Linked DNA regions of Notamacropus eugenii. The protein of the gene in region 1 interacts with the protein of each later gene in a pairwise test. Links are inferred from orthologs where the notes say so. Each region holds a gene or a part of one and is shown in the gene's direction. Other genes may lie near its edges. The genes, in order: CCDC136, TCEA2 and FAM107A.

Evidence for each region.
Region 2: the proteins of CCDC136 (region 1) and TCEA2 interact in binary tests that used the Homo sapiens proteins (3 or more experiments, as listed by UniProt). The two-hybrid records come from large-scale screens. The link is inferred for Notamacropus eugenii from reciprocal best matches to the Homo sapiens genes CCDC136 and TCEA2.
Region 3: the proteins of CCDC136 (region 1) and FAM107A interact in binary tests that used the Homo sapiens proteins (3 or more experiments, as listed by UniProt). The two-hybrid records come from large-scale screens. The link is inferred for Notamacropus eugenii from reciprocal best matches to the Homo sapiens genes CCDC136 and FAM107A.

The regions. Positions count from the first base shown.
Region 1 is NC_092874.1:121,335,405-121,340,069, reverse strand, and holds the start of CCDC136 (coiled-coil domain-containing protein 136), read left to right. Parts: upstream 1-1,775; 5' UTR 1,776-2,235; coding exon 2,236-2,293; intron 2,294-3,736; coding exon 3,737-3,841; intron 3,842-4,665. UniProt on the Homo sapiens protein: May play a role in acrosome formation in spermatogenesis and in fertilization.
Region 2 is NC_092872.1:496,078,298-496,082,962, reverse strand, and holds the start of TCEA2 (transcription elongation factor A protein 2), read left to right. Parts: upstream 1-1,408; 5' UTR 1,409-1,654; coding exon 1,655-1,726; intron 1,727-4,665. UniProt on the Homo sapiens protein: Necessary for efficient RNA polymerase II transcription elongation past template-encoded arresting sites.
Region 3 is NC_092874.1:466,690,847-466,695,511, forward strand, and holds the start of FAM107A (actin-associated protein FAM107A), read left to right. Parts: upstream 1-1,611; 5' UTR 1,612-1,713; coding exon 1,714-1,840; intron 1,841-4,665. UniProt on the Homo sapiens protein: Stress-inducible actin-binding protein that plays a role in synaptic and cognitive functions by modulating actin filamentous (F-actin) dynamics. Mediates polymerization of globular actin to F-actin. Also binds to, stabilizes and bundles F-actin.

The DNA.
Region 1 (4,665 bases):
AGTGGAGAATATCCTGGGCTTGAAGTTGGAAGGTCTGGCTTTCCACTGGAGTCTGCCATTTAACTAGCTGGGTGACCCCACTTGACCCATTTGGGCCTCATTGTCTGAAGAATGAGCAACATAAGGTCTACCCTGCCTACTCGACAGGGTTGTTTGGAGAATGAAATAATATATGTGAAAACATTCAGTAGCACAAGTATGGCACATGTATACATGCATATGTGTGGTACAGTAGAAAAAGCAGTAGAGGAGACTGGAGAGAGGACTGACCAGAAAACTGGGACCATATGGACTCACGACCTGCCTCTGACACATCCTGACTGTGGGATCCCAAGCAAATCAGGTAATCTCTGGGTCCCAGGCACCTCTCTAAGGCTACAGGGCACATTGGTTGACATTGGTAGACAGAGATCCCTATTAATGAAACCAAGCCAAAACAAACAAAAAACAACCCAACACTATGTGTACACAATTCTTATAATATACAGTGACAATTATATATCTACCATATCTACAAAAAGCTGATCTGGCTGAGGGCCCTATAACTAGCCTAAACTCCAATCCCTGCTTTGGCCATTAGAAAAGATTAAGACCTGGCCATCTGCCCTATCGAAGAGTGCACATCCGCCAGCTCCCAACAGCTTGCAATCTCTTTCTCTGGAATAATCAAAACACCACTACCTTTACTAGACTGACATGCCAATATACATTCAGACTATGACTTGAAGTCTGCTGAGGCCAAAGCTCACACTACCAACACTGTCCCTACATTGTTCCTGGGGCACTCTTCCTCTTCTTCCACTGTGTCCTCTGAAGCCTGTTCTAATGCTAATGAAACTGCCTGGCAGAATTAGACCTATGTCCTTACCTCCAGAAGTTACTTTGAAGATAGTTCATATTTGTTGCTGTTTAGTCATTTCTGTCATGCCCAACTTTTCTTGACCCCATCTAGACTTTTCTTGGCAAAGAGACTGGAGAAGTTTGTTGTTTCTCCAGCTCATTTGACAGATGGGGAAACGGAGGCAAACTGAGCTAAGTGACTTGCCCAGGGTCACACAGTTGGTGTTTGAGGCCAGATTTCAACTCAGGAAGACAAGTCTTCCTTCCTCCAGGCCCAGCACTCTATCCACTGTGCCATTTAGCACCCCCATATTTCATATTTACTTCCAAATACATTGTTTCCTTCCCTTAGATCATAAGGTCCTTGAGGGCAGGGACTGCTACATTTGATTTGTATTCCGAGCACTTAACAAAGTGACTGTTATGAGGAAAGATATCTCACTATAGCTTGTGGAATTCATTAGGGAATTGTATTAGAGAAAGAGCAAGGTAGCAGTTTAGGGTTTACAAACAAGGAAACTATTTCAGATCCCATTTAACAAAGGGCTGCGTAGTCAATGGATATAATAAAGCCTAATGACCCCGACTGACTATAGAATTGATGGGAGGCAGGGAAGAGAGAGGACCAGAAATACCGGGCTTCATCCCCCCTGTCCCTTCCATGCGTCTCTTTCCAGCCTCCACGTCACCTTAGGTTCCCCACTTGGTCTGTGGGCCTGGAAGCATCCCAGAGCCAGGACAAGCCCTGAACCCGGGGCAGGGAGCTGGCCAGTCCAGGGACTTCGGCCTTGGGAGGAGGGTGTTCTGCTTAAGATAATACAGGGCAGATTATTCCATCATCCCAGGGGGATGCTCCGCTTTACCTCGGCAGCAAAGCCAGGGATATCGGCCAGGCCCCGGGGTTCCTCTGCGCAGACCCCCTCCCCACTTCGCAGCGACTTGGGGGGAGGTGCCGGGAGGCTGTTGAGCCCTCTCCCAGCAGGGCTCCCACGGGAGCAGCCACTTCCTGAACCTAGCCGTCCATCCAAGCTCTCGGTTTGCCCCCCAGTGAGCCTGTACTGTTCTTGCTTCTTTGGGCCAAGGGTCAAGGTGCTCCCACCTGAGCCAGGAATGTGTGCGAGCCCCTTCCCAGGAGCACGCCAGGCGGGCGGCGCGCAGTGACCGGCCGGGTGGGGCTCCGGGACCCTGAGAAGAGAGAGGCTCCAGCTCCCCCCTCCCCACCCCACTCCCGCCTGCGGTTGCGTCAGGTGGGCCGGAGAGGAGACAGGAGGGGAGCCCGGGGGGCTGGGCTCGGTCCCCGCCTGGGGCACGCCTTCCCAGCAGCCCCTCCTCCGCTCCTCCCGCTCCCCAGGCTCTGCGGCTCGGTCCCGAGCAGGGCCGGCAGCGGCTGCGGCCATGGACACGGAAGCTGGGGATGGACCCGAAGCCACGAGCCGGCCCAGCCAGTGCTCAGGTCAGGGCTTTTGCTCATCCGGCTTCTCCTTGCCCTTCTCCATTTCTCCTCCCCTCCTCCTTCCCCAGGCCGAGGTCTCCATCTTTCCCATCCCTCTCCCCGCTCTCCCCGCTCTCCCCGCACGTCCAGCCCGCCGCTGCATCCTGCCTTGAGAGGCTCTCTGGTCATCCTTGTCCCCCCAGCCCCCGCGAAGCGGCTTCACCGCCCTCCCCTCCCTCCCTGCTCGGCTCTGACCCCGGGGCTCTTGTGGGTGCGCACAGATTCTCAGATCCCCTCTGGCACTGGGCACAGTGAAGAGTGGATAATTGGGGGGGGGGAGGAGTAGAAAATCAGGTAGTATGGTGATGATGGCATTTTATTCCCACTCCAGATAACAGAACCCCCTTTGCCATTGCCCCTTCCCTAACCCCCAAGCTTTTTCTCTTCACTTCCTCTCTCCCGTTCCCTCCATCTCTACCTTCTGCTCCCTCTCTCATCTTCCTCTCTTTCCTAAATATACATTCTCTGGCTTATGTATGGAGAGAGACAGAGACAGAGCTGGGTTTAACAGACCTAGTCAGTTCTGACTGTCCAGTCAAAGTCAATAGTAGAACTGGAAATATGGGAGATAAGAAGCAGTAGATGTGGGAATGTAAGCAGGGGAAGGGGAAGGGAGTGATTCACAGGGTCAGGGTCAGCAGCAGAGCTGGGTGTGGAGGAAGGACAGAGAGAAGATATGGGGACCTGTGCTAGGCAGGAGGGGGGGGAGGGGAGAAGAGATTCACAGAGCCAGGGTCAGTTGCAGAATTGGGGGTGGGGCAGATAGAAGCAGATGTAGGGGCCTGTGTTGGGGCAGGGGCTGTCCAGAGAGTCAGAGTCAGAAGCAGAGCTAGGGGTGGAGAGTGGGCAGAGAGAAGCAGAGATCTGTTGTAGAGGGGATTCACAGTCAGGGTCAGCAGCAGAGGGGGAGTAGGGCAGGCAGAAGTGGAGACCTACAGTAAGAGGAGGGAGTTAGAACCGATGGAAGCAGTAGAAGTGGGGGACCTGTGTTGGTAGGAGGAATCAGAGTCAGGAATCAGCAGCAGAGCTGGGAGTGGGGCAGCCAGCAACAGCAGCAGAGATGAGGACTTTATTTGTATTAGGATGGGAGGGGGGAAATTCAGAGGCAGAGTCAGGTGGAGGGATGGCAGTGGGGTGGGGTAGAGTAGAAAGCAGCAGCAGAAGTGGAAACCTGGGCCAGAATGGGGATGATGGCAGGGCCAGGGTCAGCAGCAAAGCTGGGAGTGGGGTGGGAGAGTACAGCAATTGGAACCAGCAGAGGGGCCATAGCTGGGGGATAGGGGACATCAGAGCTAGGAATGGGGAGATGCTTGGACTGACATTAGGATTCAAGCACCCATGACTTGCCTAGGATGGGTATACTCCCCAGCCTTTCCTGTGCCTCTCATACTTCTCTTTCCATAGGATTTCCAGTGACCCCTGCAAAGTCCTGTGAGGGATCTGAGGGCTGTGAGAGGAAGAAAGGCCAATGTTGGGGATCCCTGGAGCGCTGGGGTCAAACCATGGATGGTGAGTTTTCTTGCCCTAAAATGCTTTCTTTTCTTTCTCCCTTCCTACTTTTCAACTCCTTTCTTCTCTCCCTCCCCCTGCAGCTCCTAGCTTTGACTCCATTATTTCCCCCGAGCTTTTCCTAGAACCTTCCTCATCTCAAACTAAGGCCCAGTAGTCACCCTAAGGCTTTGGGGAAGGGAAGCAACTACTTCAAGGTTTCTTCCTGAACACACACGACTTAACTAGGGTCTATCTCATGGGGCTGACTCTGCTAGAAGGAAGCCACACCACCCCAAAAGATTTCCTGATGAGCTTTTTCATCTGAGACACTGGTCCTCACTTCATCCCAACAATGTTACCTGCTCCTGCCCCCAAAATTGTGGTCTGTCTTTCAAGCAAGGCTCCCCTCTCCCCACAGCTTAGTCCTTCAAGGTTGGAAGGAAGACACCAGAGTGGAAGAGGCACAGTCTTATCCAGAGGGCTACAATTCAACCAGCATTCTGCTGCACTGCTCTCTATGAAGCCATCCCCATTCAGGGCTTAAGGAACATATTATCACCTAGGGAGCAATCCCACATTTGCTTCTCTGGAGCCCAGATGGCTTCCAAGGCTTCTACCCAAAGTCTGAATTTCCCTAGGCCAGTGGTCAAGCAGATGTCCTGGGAATTGATTCTTGACCTGGGTGAGGGCTTGAAATCAATAATTCTACATTTCTTTCCAGCTCTCTGATTCTCTCTTTACTTGTCCCAAGTTCCAGCAGTCAGAACTAGAAGGAGCCAGGTATTCATGGGCAAGCTTTCCTTTCTTCTCAGCATCATGCTTTGAAGCACCCCCACCACCAA
Region 2 (4,665 bases), on another chromosome or scaffold:
CATACCCTGTCCTAGATGTGAGATGAGTAACTGGGGGTTCCTGACTGTAGGATTATTCATATTTCCAAACCTGAGCTGTGCATCTTTCCCCAACATCATCAGTTCCATTCCTTAACCATCCTATTTATCCACCTCATCACTCAGGCTTTAAACTACAGTATTCTCTGCCTTTTCTCTATTCTCTCTCTTCTGGTCCAGTGCAATCAGTGGCCAAGGCTTGTCCTGTTTTCCGAAATATCCTAAGGTCTGTGTCTTTCTTTCTATTCCCAAAGCCCCCCTCCAAGTCCAGGCCTAGACCAGTTGTTCCATCAGCTTCTCAGCTTGCTTTCCTGCTTTGGGCCTCTCACCAACCCCGAAAAGGCTGCCAGACGGATCCCCTCCTCCAAAGAGCCCTTAGAGATAAAAAATCCAAACCCTTTAATGTGCCATTCTCTTCTTCCCCAGCCTTCCAACTACTGCCTGGCTCTAATTTGGGGGGCAGCTACGTGGTGCAGTGGATAGAGCACCAGTGCAGGAGTCAGGAGAGCCTGAGTTCAAATCTCACCTCAGACACTTGACACTCACTAGCTGTGTGACCTTGGGCAAGTCACTTAACCCCAACTGCCTCATCCTAGGTCATCTCCAGTCATTCTGATGCATATCTTGTCATTGGATCCAGATGGCTCTGGAGGAGAAGTGAGGCTGGTGACCTGCACAGTCCTCCCTCACTCAAAACAAAGTCAAGTGCAAGCCATGTCATCATTTCTCTGATGGCGTGGTCTTCTTCAGCTCTAATTCACTTTTCCAGCCTCATCTCTCAGTCCTCATGACTAACATGTGCGTAACGCATTTCTCCCAGCTCCTGCACAACTTAGCTTCACTCCAGCCCTTCACACTTCGCGTTTTCACTCTTTTGCTGGGACCTCGCCACAGACTGAGAGCTCCGGGCTGGGGATGCCGATGGGCTGGGGGGTGGGTAACGCGAGGGTGACGTGCTGTGCCCCCAGACCAGGCCGGCGTCCGCGTCACGGCGAGCTCCGGGAGCGGCTGGAGGGGCGGGGATCCTCACCCCTTCTCTTTCCCCAGCCTGCCTTTCTTCCTCCCCTCACCTTCTGGTCCTGTTTCGCCCCTTTCACCTCCCCACGTCTCCACTCTCAAGGCCCCCTTTCTAAGAGAAGTTCTGTGCCACCATCTCCCTCCCAAAGTCGCACCGCCAGCCCACCCAGGAGGTAAAGATTCCACAGCCTCAGTGCGTTCCCACGAGTTAAAGTTCCCACTAAGGAAGCTTCTCCGAGTGAATTGTGGGGCTTGGAGTCTTCCCGTGATGCGGAGAGGCCACAGACGGCGGGTCAGAGACTACGCTTCCCACAACGCCGTGCGAGGGAGAGTTCGCTTGGTAGACGCGAACCTGGGGCGGGGCAGGCACGGAAACTACACGTCCCAGGATGCAGCGCGGCGGAGCCGCCGAGCCTGAGGCGTTTGAACGGCTGCTCTCCCGCCTGGTTGCTCTCGGGCAGCGGCGGCTGCGTGGTGGTTGCGGGGAGCTGGGGGCGGGACAGGACGAGCAGCTGAGGGCCCGGATTGCGGCAGCGGGAGGAGGAGCCCCGGGCCAGGCGGTGCGGCGGCGGTGGCGGCGGCAGCAGGGACAGGGCCTGAGCGAGCCGCCCACGGGAAGATGATGGGGAAGGAGGAGGAGATCGTGCGGATCGCCAAGCGGCTGGACAAGATGGTGACCAAGAAGAGCACGGTGAGGTCACGGTCCCCGCGCGCCTCCAGACTCCCCGAAATTGCCCCCCGAAACCTCCCCCATTCCTTCCAGAGATATCCCTCCACGGAGAGTCCGGCCAGCCACGACTCCCCTGAGGGACCCCTCTCGAGGACCCCAAGATTTCTCTCATGCCCTGCAGGGTACCTCAGACACCCTGTCCCATTTTCTGGATGTCCCTGAGATCCTTTTAGAGACTTCCCTAAGAGACCTTGAGAGACGCCTTCCCCGGCCCCCTCTCCCCATGCGCCCCAAACCAGATCAGAGCTGAACTTTGTGACTTCACCATAGAAATACCCCTTAGAAATCTCCCAGGCCGTTACTTCTCCCAGAAACCCTGAGACAGAAGTCACCGAGATAGCCACCCTTGACATCCCCAGAGACTCCACTCAGAGACCCTCTGATGGCCACCAGCGACCTCCCCCAGAGACCCTCTGATAGCCACCAGCGACCTCCCCCAGAGGCTCCACTCAGAGACCCTCTGATAGCCACCAGCGACCTCCCCCAGAGACCCTCTGATAGCCACCAGCGACCTCCCCCAGAGACCCTCTGATAGCCACCAACGACCTCCCCCAGAGGCTCCACTCAGAGACCCTCTGATAGCCACCAGCGACCTCCCTCAGAGACTCCACTCAGAGACCCTCTGATAGCCACCAGCGACCTCCCCCAGAGGCTCCACTCAGAGACCCTCTGATAGCCACCAGCGACCTCCCCCAGAGGCTCCACTCAGAGACCCTCTGATAGCCACCAGCGACCTCCCCCAGAGACCCTCTGATAGCCACCAGCGACCTCCCCCAGAGGCTCCACTCAGAGACCCTCTGATAGCCACCAGCGACCTCCCCCAGAGGCTCCACTCAGAGACCCTCTGATAGCCACCAGCGACCTCGCCCAGAGGCTCCACTCAGAGACCCTCTGATAGCCACCAGCGACCTCCCCCAGAGACCCTCTGATAGCCACCAGCGACCTCCCCCAGAGGCTCCACTCAGAGACCCTCTGATAGCCACCAGCGACCTCCCCCAGAGGCTCCACTCAGAGACCCTCTGATAGCCACCAGCGACCTCCCCCAGAGACTCCACTCAGACTCTGTGCTGGCCACCAGGGACATGCTCCAGAGATTTCCGCTCAGACACCCTTTCTCAGGGCTTCTGCTTACAGACTCTCTGATAGATATGCATGTCACCCTGGACCCCTCAAATTCCCCTCTATTTAAAAGTTCCTTACGGAACCTCAGATTCCTGTGAGACCTTGGGAGCTCTCCCCCTCAGATTCCTCAAACCCCTCTCCAAATTCCCCTCAAAGATTACTAGCTTCAATCCATAGACATTGAAGTATCTGCTTTGTGCCACGCACTATGCTAAGCTTTCTTTCCTAGAGACCCCCCAACAGAGGGTACTCAGATTTACAGGCACCAGCAAGGGACCCTTCTTCCCACTCCTCACTACTCTACTACCCGCTACTTGTGTGACCTTGACCAAGTCTCTTCTTGTTGCAATCGGTTTCCTAAAATGAAAGCAGTTGGTCTAGATGATCTCACAGAGTTCTAAATCCTGGATCCAGGTATTGGGCTGTTTCTCTGAGATCTTTGCTATAGGTCTTCCTGCTACAGCTGCCCCTGTCTTAGTTTCCTTAACTGTAAAGTGAGGATGATAACACTGACCCTTGGGTTTGTTGTGGTCAAAGTACTTTTTAGCATTTTGTAGGGCTACCTTATAGAGCTGATGTAAGGGTCAAATCAAATAAGATAATATATGCAGACTTTAAAATGCCATATATGTGTTAGCTATAATTGTGGCTATTATTTGTAAGCATTGAAGTACTATAGAAATATGATAAATTATTATTGTTTCTGCCTTGAGTCTTTTCCTAGAGCTATACTCAGACCACAGCTAAAACTGAGACTTGTAATCCCTGCCCTATACTTCCCATACCACCACAAAATTAAGCTTTTCTATTCAAGGGTCAGTAAGACCCTGATCAGAGACACTAACTTTGGAGGTAGTTTATAGGTCTGCAGATTGCGGACCTGAGTTTGAATCCTGCAGCTTTACTAGCTATGTGAATCTGGGAAAGTCACTTTACTTCTCTGTCTTCAGTTTCTTCATCTACAAAATAAGGGGCTTGGACTAGTTGATATTCTACTGTGAATTCTTTGATCTTATAACTGTCCTTTCAGAGGTCACTTAAGAACCTATAAATACTCCTGCTTAATAAATATACAGTATTTTTTTTCCACCGACACTATGATCCTTAATTCTTTAACTCCCTTTCTCCCCAGCTTTTGGCCCTTGTTTATCTCATCTGAGGCTCCCCTGGCCTCACTGAGAGGCAACCTCCATCCCATATGACTCTATGTTTGTGTCTATTATCTTCCCTTAAAGGCTCTTTCTTGGGAGCTGTCCACAAACTCTATCTTTCAGATTCTCACATTTTTAAAAAGCCTTATTTTTATTGATTTGATTTAATTTTTGTATTAATATCACCTCCATTTCCTCATACATTCCTATCCCCTCTCCTATTCAGTGAACCATCTCTTGTAACAAAGAATAAAAAAAGAGAAAAAGCAGTTCAGCAAAACCAACACGTGAACTGTGTCTGACAGTATATGGAATATTCCACAATCATAGTCCTCTTTCTCCGCAAAGAAGAGAGGAAAACACAGTTTTCCTAACCCTTCTTGGGAACCAGGCTTGGTCATTATAATTATATACTGTTTGGTTTCCTCTTTTGTTCTCTCCATTTACGTTACTGTAGTCAGTGTCTCACAAACATTTGTTAAAAATCTTGGGTTTGCTGAGAACTATGCTGAGTGCTGAGTGAGATGGAGAATTTAGATAAGACATGGAGCTTGCCATTCTGAAATTTTTCTAGTACATACACAAATAGCATTAAAATTATGTAAGTTCATAAGAGAACTACAGAGC
Region 3 (4,665 bases), about 350 Mb from region 1:
TATTTTTTGGGAGGTTTTGGATGCTGGAGCTTTGATTTTGTTGTGTTCTTCTGTGTTTAGATCTTCCTTGTCACCATAGCAACTTCCTATGATCAGAATTTTTTTCTGCTTGCTCACTTTTCCAGTCTATTTCTTGACTTTTAACTCCTTGTTAAAGTGGGGCTCTGCTTCTAAGGTGGAGGGCATACTGTCCCATACTTCAAGGATTTCGTACAGATATTTTCAGAGATATTTCTAGGGACCTGTAAGTTTTCAGTTCTTCCAAGGTGGTATGATCTAAGGAGAGGTGTGTTTCTACTCTCAGGACAGTGGTCTGTGAGTGACCACAAGCACTCTTTTCTGTCTTGGAACTGTGATGGGGTGCCCTGCTCCACTGAGGCTGCAAGCTGTAATGTGCTAGAGTGCTTCTCCTTGCCCTGGGACTGCCACCCAGAACTGCGACCCAGATCAGAGTATGAGCAAAGCAATAGAGTCTTGCCTCAGTGCTAGCAAAGAGGATACTGTAACCTCCTTCTGACCAGTTGTTTGACTCCTTTACTGTCTGTGGGCTGCTACTACAGAGGTAGCCACTGCCACTGCTGATTCAGTGGCTCCCAAGTTCTGCTCCTGGTTTTCTGGGGCCAGACTATACTGGCATGACCTGTACTGGACTGAGCTCTACTCTCACCCAGGTGGCACAGATCTTTCATACCAACCTTCTAAGTTGTTTTTGGCTGGAAAATTATTTCACCCCATCCTTTTGTGGGTTCTACCTTTCTAGAAATTTTTTATGGCATTATTTAAAGGTATTCACAGGGGTTTGGGGGAGAGATCAGGCAAGTCATTGCCTTTTCTCTAACATTTTGGCTCTGCCTCCTAAATTTGATAATTGTTTTTAAAGGAAGATTTGAACAATTTGATAAATTTGATACAGATTTAAATAGCTGCCACAGTGGACATGTTTTATACAATCTTCCATGTATTCAATCCGTGCCTCTCTACATTAGATCTCTGGGACCAAGGCTGTTCATTAAAATTCATCAGAATTCAGCTGCTTTCATGGGGTCTTCCTGGCAACTGGAGTTGTTTGTCATTTATTTCTCCAGATCATTTTACAAGTAAGGAAACTGAGGCAGAGTGAAGTGACTTGCCCAGGGTCACAGAGGTAGTGTCTGAGGTCAGATTTGAACTCAGGTCCTCCTGACTTCAGAACTAGCACTCTCTCCACCTGGCTGCTGGTTTATAAATTCCCAAGATTATAGGTCAAGAGTTGGTAGGGACTTCGAAAGTCATCTACTCCCATCTCTTCATTTTACAAGTGAAGAAACTGAGGCACCAAAAGTCTCAGTGATACCCCAGTGACTTAAGTAAGATTGTAAGTAACAAAGTCAGCATTTGAACCTTGGTGCCTCTGTGATTCAGTTTCCTCATCTATAATGCTACCTTCCTTCCAGGAAGACTGTGAAGAAAAGTGGATGTTCATCCATACTGGCCCTGGGATCCCAGCAGCCTGGCCCTCTCAACAGTAACATAATCCCCTGAAATCACCCAGGAAAGGTTTTGTGAGAGGAGCAGATCAAAATGTACCGCCTGGCAGGGGAGGGCAGGGGCTGTGCTGAGCCTGCCCATCTCACATGACTGCTTTCCGTCTCTGAAAAGATCTTACTGAAGTGAGAGAGAGAGAGAGAGCTCAGTAGCAGAGCTCCTGCCAAAAAGCTATGCACACTTGCCAGCATGTGCAGCCTCCGAGATTCAACTAGCTTCCCCCGTGCCCGGCCGGCACTCATGGCCCAGAGAGATATGGGGATCAGGGTGCCCCCTGAGGCAACAGGTCTCTACCGAGCCATGCTGGTTAAATCAGGTAAGAGCAAGCCTGGAGTGGGACCCTCTCCCCTGCTCCCCAGCTGGGCAAAGAATGTGTTTGCCTGCTTCCCTGTGCCAGTGTCCACCTGGGCACCTGTCCTGGCCCATCCTGGCATTTTTCTGGCCATCATGTACTGAAGAGTTTTAAGTCGGGATCCTAGTCCCACTACCAGACATGTGATTCCTTAATATGACTGATTTTAAATGATTGCTGGCACTTCTCTAACTGTGGGTATTATGATTATCAAGGAGGTATTTCTTTGGTTTCTTTTAGTTTGTTTTTTAACAAGTCCTACAGTCCAGGTAAGAAACTCCTAGTTTCAGGGGAAATAGCTTGCCTTTTGTAAAGGGGGAAAGGGATCGGATGGTTCCTATTTCTTTTACAATTTCATTTTGAGAGAGATATTTTCAATAGTGCTCATAATTCTGCGGGTTCAATCTTCCTTCTAATTCAAAAACCTGATCCATGAGAAATCTGCCAGTCTATGCTTCAGTCAAGGGCAAAGAGGTAGACCCAGCTCTGTAACCAAGTGAGGCACCCTGAGTGCCTTTCTGGGGCCCTGCCAGCTGCCAGCACTGGAGCCCAAGGCTAGCTGGGGCTTTTTTGTGTTGTTCCTGGAGTCTTGGGAAGCATCAGACAGCAAAATTGGAGGGATTTGGTCTGATTCAGCGGCTCCTGGAGTGGATCATTCCGGGACATGCTGAGAATAGCTAAACTCAGAAGCCTGCACTGGGACACAAAATGATGCTGCCTGGAGAGACCAATGCAGCCTTTCTGAGGTGGGAGTCAGTCAGCCTGGACTGATTGAATGTCCGCTGTCTGGAGAGATCTGAGCTGGAAGCAGGGGATGAAAAAATATATCAAAAAAACTTTCAAATCATGGAATGCCCAAGCTGGAAGAGAATTCAGAACTCCAGTCACCCTCCCTCCTCCCCATTTATATTCATTTGACAACTGAAATTCAGCGAAGTGAAGGGACCGGTCCAGGATCACACAGCTCCTTGGTGGAAAAGATGGAACCCTGATCCGCAAACTAGTGTTTATTCAGTGTCCTTTAAAATTCAATCAAATTCCACTTTCTCCAGGAAGCCTTCCTTGATCTCTCCCCACCCCCACATTCACAGGTAATAATCTTATCTAACAGTGGAATCACCTGCTAAAGAGGTAGGGGACTCTCCCTATATTTGAAGTGTGGAGGCTTAAGGTAAGGGGAATTCTTGTTCCAGTATGGATTGGATTAAGTTGCTGAGGTCCCTTCCAACACTGGGATGCTTTCATTTTCTGTGATTCTTTGTAAAGTTATATTCTATACATCCCTCTAGGTTTCAGTCCTATAGATGAAAACCAAGTGGCTCCTTGGGCTCTCTCATTTATCTTGCTTAGTACCCACAATTTGTGCTCTTGTGTATGGACCTCTGTGGCCACGAGCTCCATTGCTGACTTCCTTCTTGCATTTTTGACTCCTGAGAATTATGGGGTGTCTCTACTGCTGTTATTGTAACCATGCTCTGTGGTCCTGAAAGTTGGTTTCTCCTTTCACTCTCCTCCCTTTCCAGTTTGAAGTCCCTTTCTTTTACTAGCATTGCAGATCTCTGAGCAAATATATTTTTTAGCCTTTACTATCTACAATCCATCCCTAGCCAAGAGTGTATCATTCCTATATTTTAAGCCTTGGTCCAAAAATTAATTTTTTTTGTTTTCAGGTAAACTACTCAAGTAGTTCTTCACTCCTCAGATCTGTCTTTCTCTTCCAAAACTTCTGTTTTAATTGACAAACATGATGAAGAGACCACTGGGGCCCCTAAGGTCTTCATTTTCTTGCCCAGGACTTCAATGTCCCTACCATGTTTGCTAACTTTCTTATGGTAGTGTAATGTGTCCCTAGATTTATCACGGGAAGTAGGAAGCAAGTTTGTCAAGTCCTGTTGTGGCTATGTGCACCTAGATGTGGGTTTCATTTCTGCCTCACTCTCCTCAGATTCTAGGACTGTACCTGGCACGTAGTAGCTATGTCCAAAGGTTTGCTGATTGACAGTTTGACAAACAGCTGTCTTGGTTTCCTCAGCAGAGAGTCACCAGCCACCACTGACTTTCCTCTGACCCTTACTGAGTAACCTCTCTCCTTAGAGCCCTGCCTCCTCTCAGGATGGCTCAGCTCAGCCCTCTGCAGGGAGAGTCCATCACCTAATCCTCATGCCCCCACTTTTGTCACTCATATTTCCCTTTCTTAAAGTTCTTACCTTCTTCTCCCCTCTCATGCCCTGACCCACATCAGGGCACTCAGATCCCTCTTCAGCTCCTTCCTTTCTTTTTTTGTTTGTTTGTTTATTTTTACTTGGAAGTTTTTCTATTTTTAAAGGCATATTTTTACATCCCTTAGCAGGAAAGAGATTCCTTTTTTCTTTCATCTTTTATTGTAGGACAGAGACCAGCCTGAACTGTGTGCATTCATAGTCATCCCCTTGCCATGGCAGAAGGACTGAAAGCAGCCACCCTCTCTGCAGGCCATTGTGCCCGTCTCTCCTTCCCCTTCTGTCCTCTAAGTGTCAGAAGAGGGATCCCCTGGAGTCTTTTCCTGGCACAGGGCAGACTGGGTGTCTTCTGAAAATCCCCTCCACCTTGGAGATGCTGTGCTCTCTGGCACTGTAATAAACAGTGTGTGAGAGTGTAAGCGATGCCAGTTTTTAAGAATGTAGTCCTGAGCTGGTGCTGTGTAATGGAGTCAGTTCTAATGACCAAGTTTGGTCCCAAGTGGCCAGAGATGGGGGAATGGAACATTGCATAGTTGGACTCAGTTGATCCATTGGTTAGTTTGCAACTGT